2 linked regions of the Rattus norvegicus genome follow. The protein of the gene in region 1 interacts with the protein of each later gene in a pairwise test. Links are inferred from orthologs where the notes say so. Each region holds a gene or a part of one and is shown on either strand. Other genes may lie near its edges.

What was found.
Region 2: the proteins of Tk1 (region 1) and Tubb2a interact in a two-hybrid assay, tested with the Homo sapiens proteins (2 studies listed by BioGRID and IntAct). The link is inferred for Rattus norvegicus from reciprocal best matches to the Homo sapiens genes TK1 and TUBB2A.

The regions. Positions count from the first base shown.
Region 1 is NC_086028.1:103,534,721-103,538,363, forward strand, and holds part of Tk1 (thymidine kinase, cytosolic), read right to left. Parts: intron 980-3,643; coding exon 890-979; intron 615-889; coding exon 495-614; intron 417-494; coding exon 231-416; 3' UTR 1-230. UniProt on the Homo sapiens protein: Cell-cycle-regulated enzyme of importance in nucleotide metabolism. Catalyzes the first enzymatic step in the salvage pathway converting thymidine into thymidine monophosphate.
Region 2 is NC_086035.1:31,000,903-31,004,995, reverse strand, and holds the start of Tubb2a (tubulin beta-2A chain), read right to left. Parts: upstream 2,811-4,093; 5' UTR 2,734-2,810; coding exon 2,677-2,733; intron 1,409-2,676; coding exon 1,300-1,408; intron 1,050-1,299; coding exon 939-1,049; intron 188-938; coding exon 1-187. UniProt on the Homo sapiens protein: Tubulin is the major constituent of microtubules, a cylinder consisting of laterally associated linear protofilaments composed of alpha- and beta-tubulin heterodimers.

The DNA.
Region 1 (3,643 bases):
CAGCTCTCTAGTGAAGCAAGACCAGTAAAGTATGATGTTGCCTGAATCACGGGGTTTAAGAGAGAAGCGTTGGGTTGGGGGCTCACAACCATTATAAGAAGGGAACTAAGAAAGGTTTCAACAAGCAGATAAGCCAAGGTGCAATGTCCAGTAGGAATGGCAGGCCCCGCCCCTTTCCCTGCTCTCTGGGAGTCCAACCTGGGGAAGGAGCTGGCAGGCCCCGGGTCCCCTCAGTTGGCAGAGTTACACTGTAGGATTTGCTGAGGGGCAAAGAGCTTCCTGACAGCCGGGATCTCTATAGGCTGCCCCAGCACTGAGTAGTTCTCTTTGTTGTCTGCAGTCTGGGCTGAAGACTTCTTAAAGTAGCACAGGCGGCAAACAGAGTGGTACTTGTCCGCTCCGCCAATCACCTCCACCTGGTAGGAGAGGCGTATGAGGGAGGACTCAGAAGCCTAAGCCCACCCCACTCCGTGGGCAGAAGCACAAGGAGATACCTCTTTCTCCAGGCCCAGCCTCTTGGTGTAGGAAGCTTCTCGAAAGCACTCCATGCACACAGCGGTGAGCTTCACCACACTCTCGGCCAAGGGCACCAGGTTCAAGATGCTGCCGAAAGCCTACACAGGACAGCAAAAGTGTTAGCCAGGCACTTCCCTCCCTGCCTGTGTTCACGTGTATGCGTGTGGAGGGAGTTCTGCGGAACTGACGCAAGCCTGTGTGCAAGGCAAGTGTGTTACAGCCTGGGCTGCCCCCAGCCCAACGCTTCTCTTTTAAACCCCATGATTCAGCAACATCATACTTTACTGGTCCTGCTTCACTAGAGAGCTGCATGGGGAGACCTTGCATGCTGTCTCCCCTCTCAAGACCGCTGCCATGGGTCAGACATCTTTACCTTCCTCTGGAAGGTTCCGTCCAGCGCCGCCACAATCACTGTCTTGCCTGTATTGGCCATCGTTTCACAGAAATCCACAATGTCAGGGAACTAGGAAAGTTCAGAGAGGATGAAGTGAGCCGTCCTGAGCAAGGGCCTCATGAAGACGGTGAGGGATCCGAGCACACAGGTAAGCCCAGAGCCGGAGATCAGACCGCACTGCCACTCCTGTGAAACATCCCACCTGCATGCCCACTGCTACCCAGGGCTGGCCCACAGAGGCCTCTACATACCAGAGAGGCTGGAACAGCAGTTCTCAACTAGTGGGTCGAGACCCCCCTGGGGTTGAACAGCTTAAACAGTGTGCATGAAGCCCTTGGCTCCACCCCCATCCCCTACCCCCACATCAAATGAGCCAGACAAGGTGTCCAACACAATACCACTACTTTAAAGGTAGAAGGATTAGGAAGTTAAAATAAACCAGGGCTGGAGAGATGGTTCAGGGGTTACAAGCATGGCTTGTTCTTATAGATAACTAGAATTCAATTCCCAGCACCCACAACAGATAGCTTACAAACCATCTGTAACTCCAGATGCAAGGACAGCTAATGTCCTCTTTTGGCATCTGCAGGCACCCACCCTCACATGCACACATGCACTTTTAGCCCCCATGGACAGCTGGAGGGAGGAAGGGAGGGAAGGAGGAGGGGGACTCTTGGTAATGAGATGTACAAGGCGTACGTAAGTAGGTTGGCAGGGATAGCTGCCCTCCGCCTTCCACTGTCTCTCAGGCCAGCCTCCCCCTTCACAGCACGGGTGTAGACCAGGTTAGCCTTGAACTCAGGAGATCTACTTGCCTCTGCCCCTGAAGTTCTAAGATTAAAGGCCTATGCTATGAGCCTGGCGCTTCCATTTCGTTTGAGCTGGGTCTCTTCCTGAATCTGGAGCACAGCTACTGGGCTGGGCTGCCTAGTCAGGGAGCTCCAGGGGCCTGCCTGTCTCTGCCTTCCTCACACTGGGATTATGGACATGTGGCTATACCCAGTGTTGTACACGGGTGCTAGGGACCCAAACTCAGGCACTCATGCCTGCAGAGCCAGGGCCTCCCTCACTGACAGAACTGTCTCCCCATCCCTTCTGTCTCTCACTTTTGATTGGTTACTGCTGTGCAACCCAGGCTGGCCTGGGTTGCAAAGCAATCTCCTGCCTGCCTGGTTCTTGGACCTTTTCTTGAACATATCTCTGCCCTACACCTTAACGTTCTAACCTTTCTCTTCTTCCACGGTCCCTCCCAGTTTTAGTCTTTCAACGGAGGTGAGGTGGAAGCTCCAGATTTATCTCCAGACCTAGAATGCCGCAGCCAAAGGGCAGAAACTTGGAATGGATGCGATTGGTCCCTGGACTCAGCCATTCCCACAATAGTCACAGCATGTGACATGGCTTGCTCTATAAAAACACACGTGTATAATTAGAAGCGTCCAGGCTGGACTGGCATTCATCAGAGTCCTGGCACTGGCTGAACATAATCTCTTGGGTCAACACCAGGCAAGGCAGGCACCCTGGCCGCATGAATAAAGACCCTTCCTCAGTCTCACGTGACCACTGACAAAGCAGGTGCAGTCTATGCCAGAAGCAATCAAACAAGCACCACCCTTCCGCCAAAAGGAGCTCGGTCCCCTCCCGGAGGGCCACTGTTCCACGACTAGTGTTTGCCCCGTGGCAGGCTTTAGAACCCACAATATTGGCTCGCAGGGCATTCCTGGTAGTTTCTGGTTCAAAGACACTTAAGTGGCAAGCCTCCTTTGTCTGGTGTGCTCCTGCTGTGCCCTACATTGAGCCTGTCATTACTGCGTCAAAAAGAAGGGAAACAAAGTTCTTAACGATGCAAGCTTCTAATCTTGCCCAGAAGCTGTGGGCCCTGCTTCTGGTGAATGAACACACGGGAAGCTCTATGTCCTCAGCTCTGGCTCCAGGGACCCTACAGGACCCTCTACCCACTGTCTGAGGACACAGGAAGGAAGGGCAATCTCCTTGTGTTACCACGAGGAGATCCTGAACTTAGTAAGGAACAGGGTCTAGAGTCTGGGGCGGAAGCACACAAGAATTGTGTTGTTTATACAGTGCACACTGAATACTCACTGTAGCCTGTGCGAGGGCCCATGACTACACAATACCAGCACTCAGGGGCCCGAGTTCTAATCTAGCCTGGACCACAAAGCAAGACCCCACCCCAAAACTCCAAGTAGCCACTAAATGAACTCGTTTTCCTTAATCATAAGGTGGGGTGGGGGTGGGGCGCATAGAAATAAATCTCTCCTATAGGTTAGGATGGGGAAGAGGGTTGGGGCGACTGGTAGGCTGGTGCCAGACCTGGGTATGAGTCTATCAAGCAGGAAGAGCTAAGAAAAGAAGGTAGTGGGCTGGAGAGATGGCTCAGCGGCTAAAAGCACTGACTGCCCTTCCAGAGGTCCTGAGTTCAATTCCCAGCAACCACGTGGTGGCTTACAACCATCTGTAACGGGATCTGATGCCCTCTTCTGGTGTGCATGAAGACAGCTATAGTGAATAAATAAACAAATCTTTAAAAAAAAAAAAAGAAAGAAAGAAAGAAAGAAAGAAAAGAAAAGAAGGTAGTGCCTAGGGAGTGCGGCTGGGCCTCTGGGAATACCAGGAGAGCACAGAGTAAGCAGGCTACTGCCGCAGGCCTGAGGGGGGAAACTGTGTCCTAAGTCAACGTCTGCACAGCCATTGCACTCCCAAGGTTTACCTCTGAGG
Region 2 (4,093 bases), on another chromosome or scaffold:
ATCTTGCTGATGAGCAGGGTCCCCATGCCTGAGCCAGTGCCTCCCCCCAGTGAGTGGGTCAGCTGGAAGCCCTGGAGACAGTCACAGCTTTCTGACTCCTTCCTCACCACATCCAGGACAGAGTCCACCAGCTCGGCACCCTCTGTGTAGTGGCCCTTTGCCCAGTTATTTCCTGCACCACTCTGACCTGAAAAAGAGAATATTAGTCACTTAGGAATCCAGGGTGGTGTCCTTGGACTATAAAAGAAAGTGGAAAACATGGGGAGGAAGAGGACACATCTTTTTTTTTTTTTTTTTCTTTCGGAGCTGGGGACCGAACCCAGGGCCTTGTGCTCGCTAGGCAAGCCCTCTACCACTAAGCTAAATCCCCAATCCTAAATAACTTTTTTTTTCTTTTCTTTTTTTTTTCGGAGCTGGGGACTGAACCCAGGGCCTTGCGCTTCCTAGGCAAGCGCTCTACCACTGAGCTAAATCCCCAACCCCAAGAGGACACATCTTAACAATTTTCAGTAACTTCTAAAGTTATGCACAGAGCGCATTCTGTAAATACCCTTAATTAGCTATAATTAAAGAGGCGGGGAAGACAGCTCTAAACATTTGGGCTACATCTTGGTCACTGAAGTGGTTACCTGGCATCAGTGATCCTTTGAAATCTCCTACAGCCTATGATGCCCTTGGAAGGCTTTTATCGTTTCCAATGCCCCACCCCCAGAGGCTGCTCCTCCTAGGGCCTTTCACAGCCTCCACAGACCCACACACCCCTCTGAGCTGTCAAGAGTGACCACAGACATGATCTTGTCAGCTGCATAGGTTAGGCCAGGACTTGCGGTCCCTGGGACACAGGCTCAGCTGGATGCTGCACACAGAACTGTAAAGCCCACGGCTGCTAGGAAGGGAATGAGTCAGCTGGGCAGCTCTCCTAGAGCATGACGACATACCGAACACAAAGTTGTCTGGCCTGAAGATCTGGCCGAATGGTCCCGACCTCACTGAGTCCATGGTGCCTGGCTCCAGGTCCACTAGGATGGCCCGAGGTACATATTTGTTGCCTGTGGGGACAAGAGCTGACTTACAACTGGGCTTGGGAAAGGAGATGGATGGAGCAGAAGAAGTCATTGCAGAAATCCCAGCATTGAGACAAAGGAGGAAAAAGAAAATGGAGACACAAAGCATACAGAGGTCCTCAGGAACAGCAACGTGGTTTTTTTTTTAAATGAGTGTGCAAAAAAGCATTTCCTTGTCTGCATGCTGCTTCCTCTGCCACAGTGTGGAAAGCAAGACTGACATCCAAACCCTTACCAGCAGCTTCATTGTAGTACACATTGATTCTCTCCAGCTGCAAGTCACTGTCGCCATGGTAACTGCCAGTGGGGTCGATGCCATGCTCATCGCTTATCACCTCCCAAAACTGAAACGAAGGCAATCGCATCACACTTAGACTGTCACCCAGAAAGGTCTTGGTCAGACAGCAGGCAAGAGCCTAGTGTGCTGCTGGCCTCCATGTATTTGGGCAGCAGCAGCTGCTGCAGAGGTCTTGGGAATGCGCAGTGCATCGCCATATTATGACCACAGATGCAGGGTGCAGGGGGAGCCTGGAGAAGGAAGTGGGCACAGCAGATCTCCCAGAACTGCAGAGGCAGCTGCTTTCTATCACTCCAGGCAAGGCTGAATGTTACACATACAGCCTGATGGATGGGAATGGCAGAAGGGAAGATCAGGTGCCCCACCCCCTGTGCCTCCAGGGATCAATGGCTGCTGGCACAGACTCCATGACAGCTTTCAACAGCCCGGTTTTATACCACTGACCTACATATTGGCTTCGGGTATTGACCCTGACTAGGAAATGTTCGGGGATGGGCAGTAAAATCCTGAGAGGGCATCTGGCAGCCCCGGAAAAAGCTGGCCTCCCTCAGGATGCAGCCTGCATTGTGACTTGGCAGCAGGAAAAGGGAGTGGGGAGGTTGGGTGGGCAATATGGCGGTGTTGAAAGAGACCACGTCCTTGTACAGGAACCTGCCCACACCCATGTTTAATGCTCATTGCTGTCTCCCCGCTGCCATCAGGTCTCTCAGCCCCCATTCCGAGTCTCACAGAGGAGAAAGACGACCATTGCGTTTTAAGTTACATCTAGGCGAGCCCTAGTAAGAGAATTTGTCTAACACCCTCGTCTGTTGGCCCAAAGACAAGCCTCTGTAACATCTGTCAACCCAATGACACTGCATTTTTTTGATTCAAATGATAGACAAAATATACGTATACAAATTACATTTGACATGAGATTTTTCAATACATGGAGTGACACCCCAACCCAAATTTCAGAGACGAAAACACCCAGAGTAATGTCATTTGCACCCTGCAGAAGGGCTGTGTCCCAAAGCAATGTAATGGACCTTAATTTAAGACACCCTGTCGCACCCATCGTGGCAGATTAGTCGGCTTTCAGGACCCGCTTTTAGGACCCGGTCCGCCCAGTAGCCAGCGAAGGAATGCGACACCAGCACCAGCACAGGCTCCTCTGGAACCCCTAGGTCCGGCTTGCCTCCACCCCCCACTCCCTACCCCTCACCCTCTACCCCTCACCCTCCACCCCTCACTCCCCACCCCACCCCCACACAACCTTGGGACCCCGACCCGAGGGGGCGACCTCATCCATTTCCTCCCTAGGGGTGCTCCCACCTTAGCGCCGATCTGGTTGCCGCATTGGCCCGCCTGGATGTGCACGATCTCGCGCATGGTGTTGGCTGTAGAAGAGGTGAAGGCTCTTGCCCTAGGAGCAGTGCGTGGACCGAGGGCTAAGGAGAGCAAAAGACCAGTCGCCTTCCCCCAGCTCCACCTTTTATACCCGGGGACCGCCCAGCCCCGCTGACGTCACGGGGGCAGAGCCGAGGGGCGGCGCTGCGGGGACTGCGGCACCGCGAGAGGGAGCCGGGGCGCGGTGCGAGGTGCAGGGCACCCGGCTGTATGCAGCGTCCCAGGGTTACTACGCCCCTCGGCCCGTCCTGCTGGCTTCCCCTCAACGTCCACCTGAGCTGTTTGTCTACTGTGGATACCTTTAGGTTACACTCTGGTTCCGCTCCCACCCTGCTCACTTCCCACCACGCCGGGGACTCGAGATTGGGCTCCTGCCTCCCCAGATAGCAGGACAGGTGTGGCCTCGCTCTTGGATATGGAGCCCAAAACTGAAAACGTATCTCTATTAGATGTCCTTTCTGAAAAGGAATGCCAGCATCCTGGGCAGGGGCTTGAACTGCAGCCCGGTTCTCTTTGAAGTCTGGGTGATAATCGAGGGCGAGTTGAAAGCCAGGCGCGGTGCGGCTTGGGAGGAGGAGGGGAGGGTTGAGAAAGGGTCTGGACTGTTTCGAGGACAAGGATGCGCTCTACAGGTAGATTGCAGGGTATGGGGAGGAAGAGTGTCCTTTGCTCTGGACTCTTGGATCCTAAAAGCCCCTTAAAAGTTGAAATTTCTGCTCTCGGCACAGGCACGTGTTGGAGCGAGAGAGCCAGGGAGGAAAGAGGAGATGTGAGAGAGAAACCATGGTTTTCATGGGCTGGGTAAGTTAGCCAAAGAACCCCACTGACAAAAGGTCACAGGGATCATGTTTTGGACAGTGTTTAAAATATATTTTTAATGACTCACTTTTTTCACTTTTAAAAATGTGATTACCAGGAAAACATAAAAACACTGTTGCAGCCCACATTCGGGGTTCACATACATCCTGTTGGCTAGTACTGTCCTACAGTAGGCATCATCACTACCCTGATTCCTCCCCTTGAAAAAGCAAGGTTTAAAATCTGATCAGCTACAAAGGGAGGAAGCCAAAGAACTTGCAATGTTTCTATTAGCAGAAACCCTGGGTGAGTCTCAAAGGCTTGGCACTAGGACTGGACCACCAGGAGTTACTCTTGGTTGGTCTGGCACAGTGGAGAGGTAAACAGGAGCTTCCTCCACCTTTTCCTCTTGGGAGCCAGTTTCTTCAAACATTACATAATTATAGGTGCCTTGGAGCTGGCTTTGTGAACAGGAAATGAGAAGGTGTATATGAAAGCCGGTTGAGTTTATGGAGTGAAAATGCCTCCATAAAGTCCAAGGCGA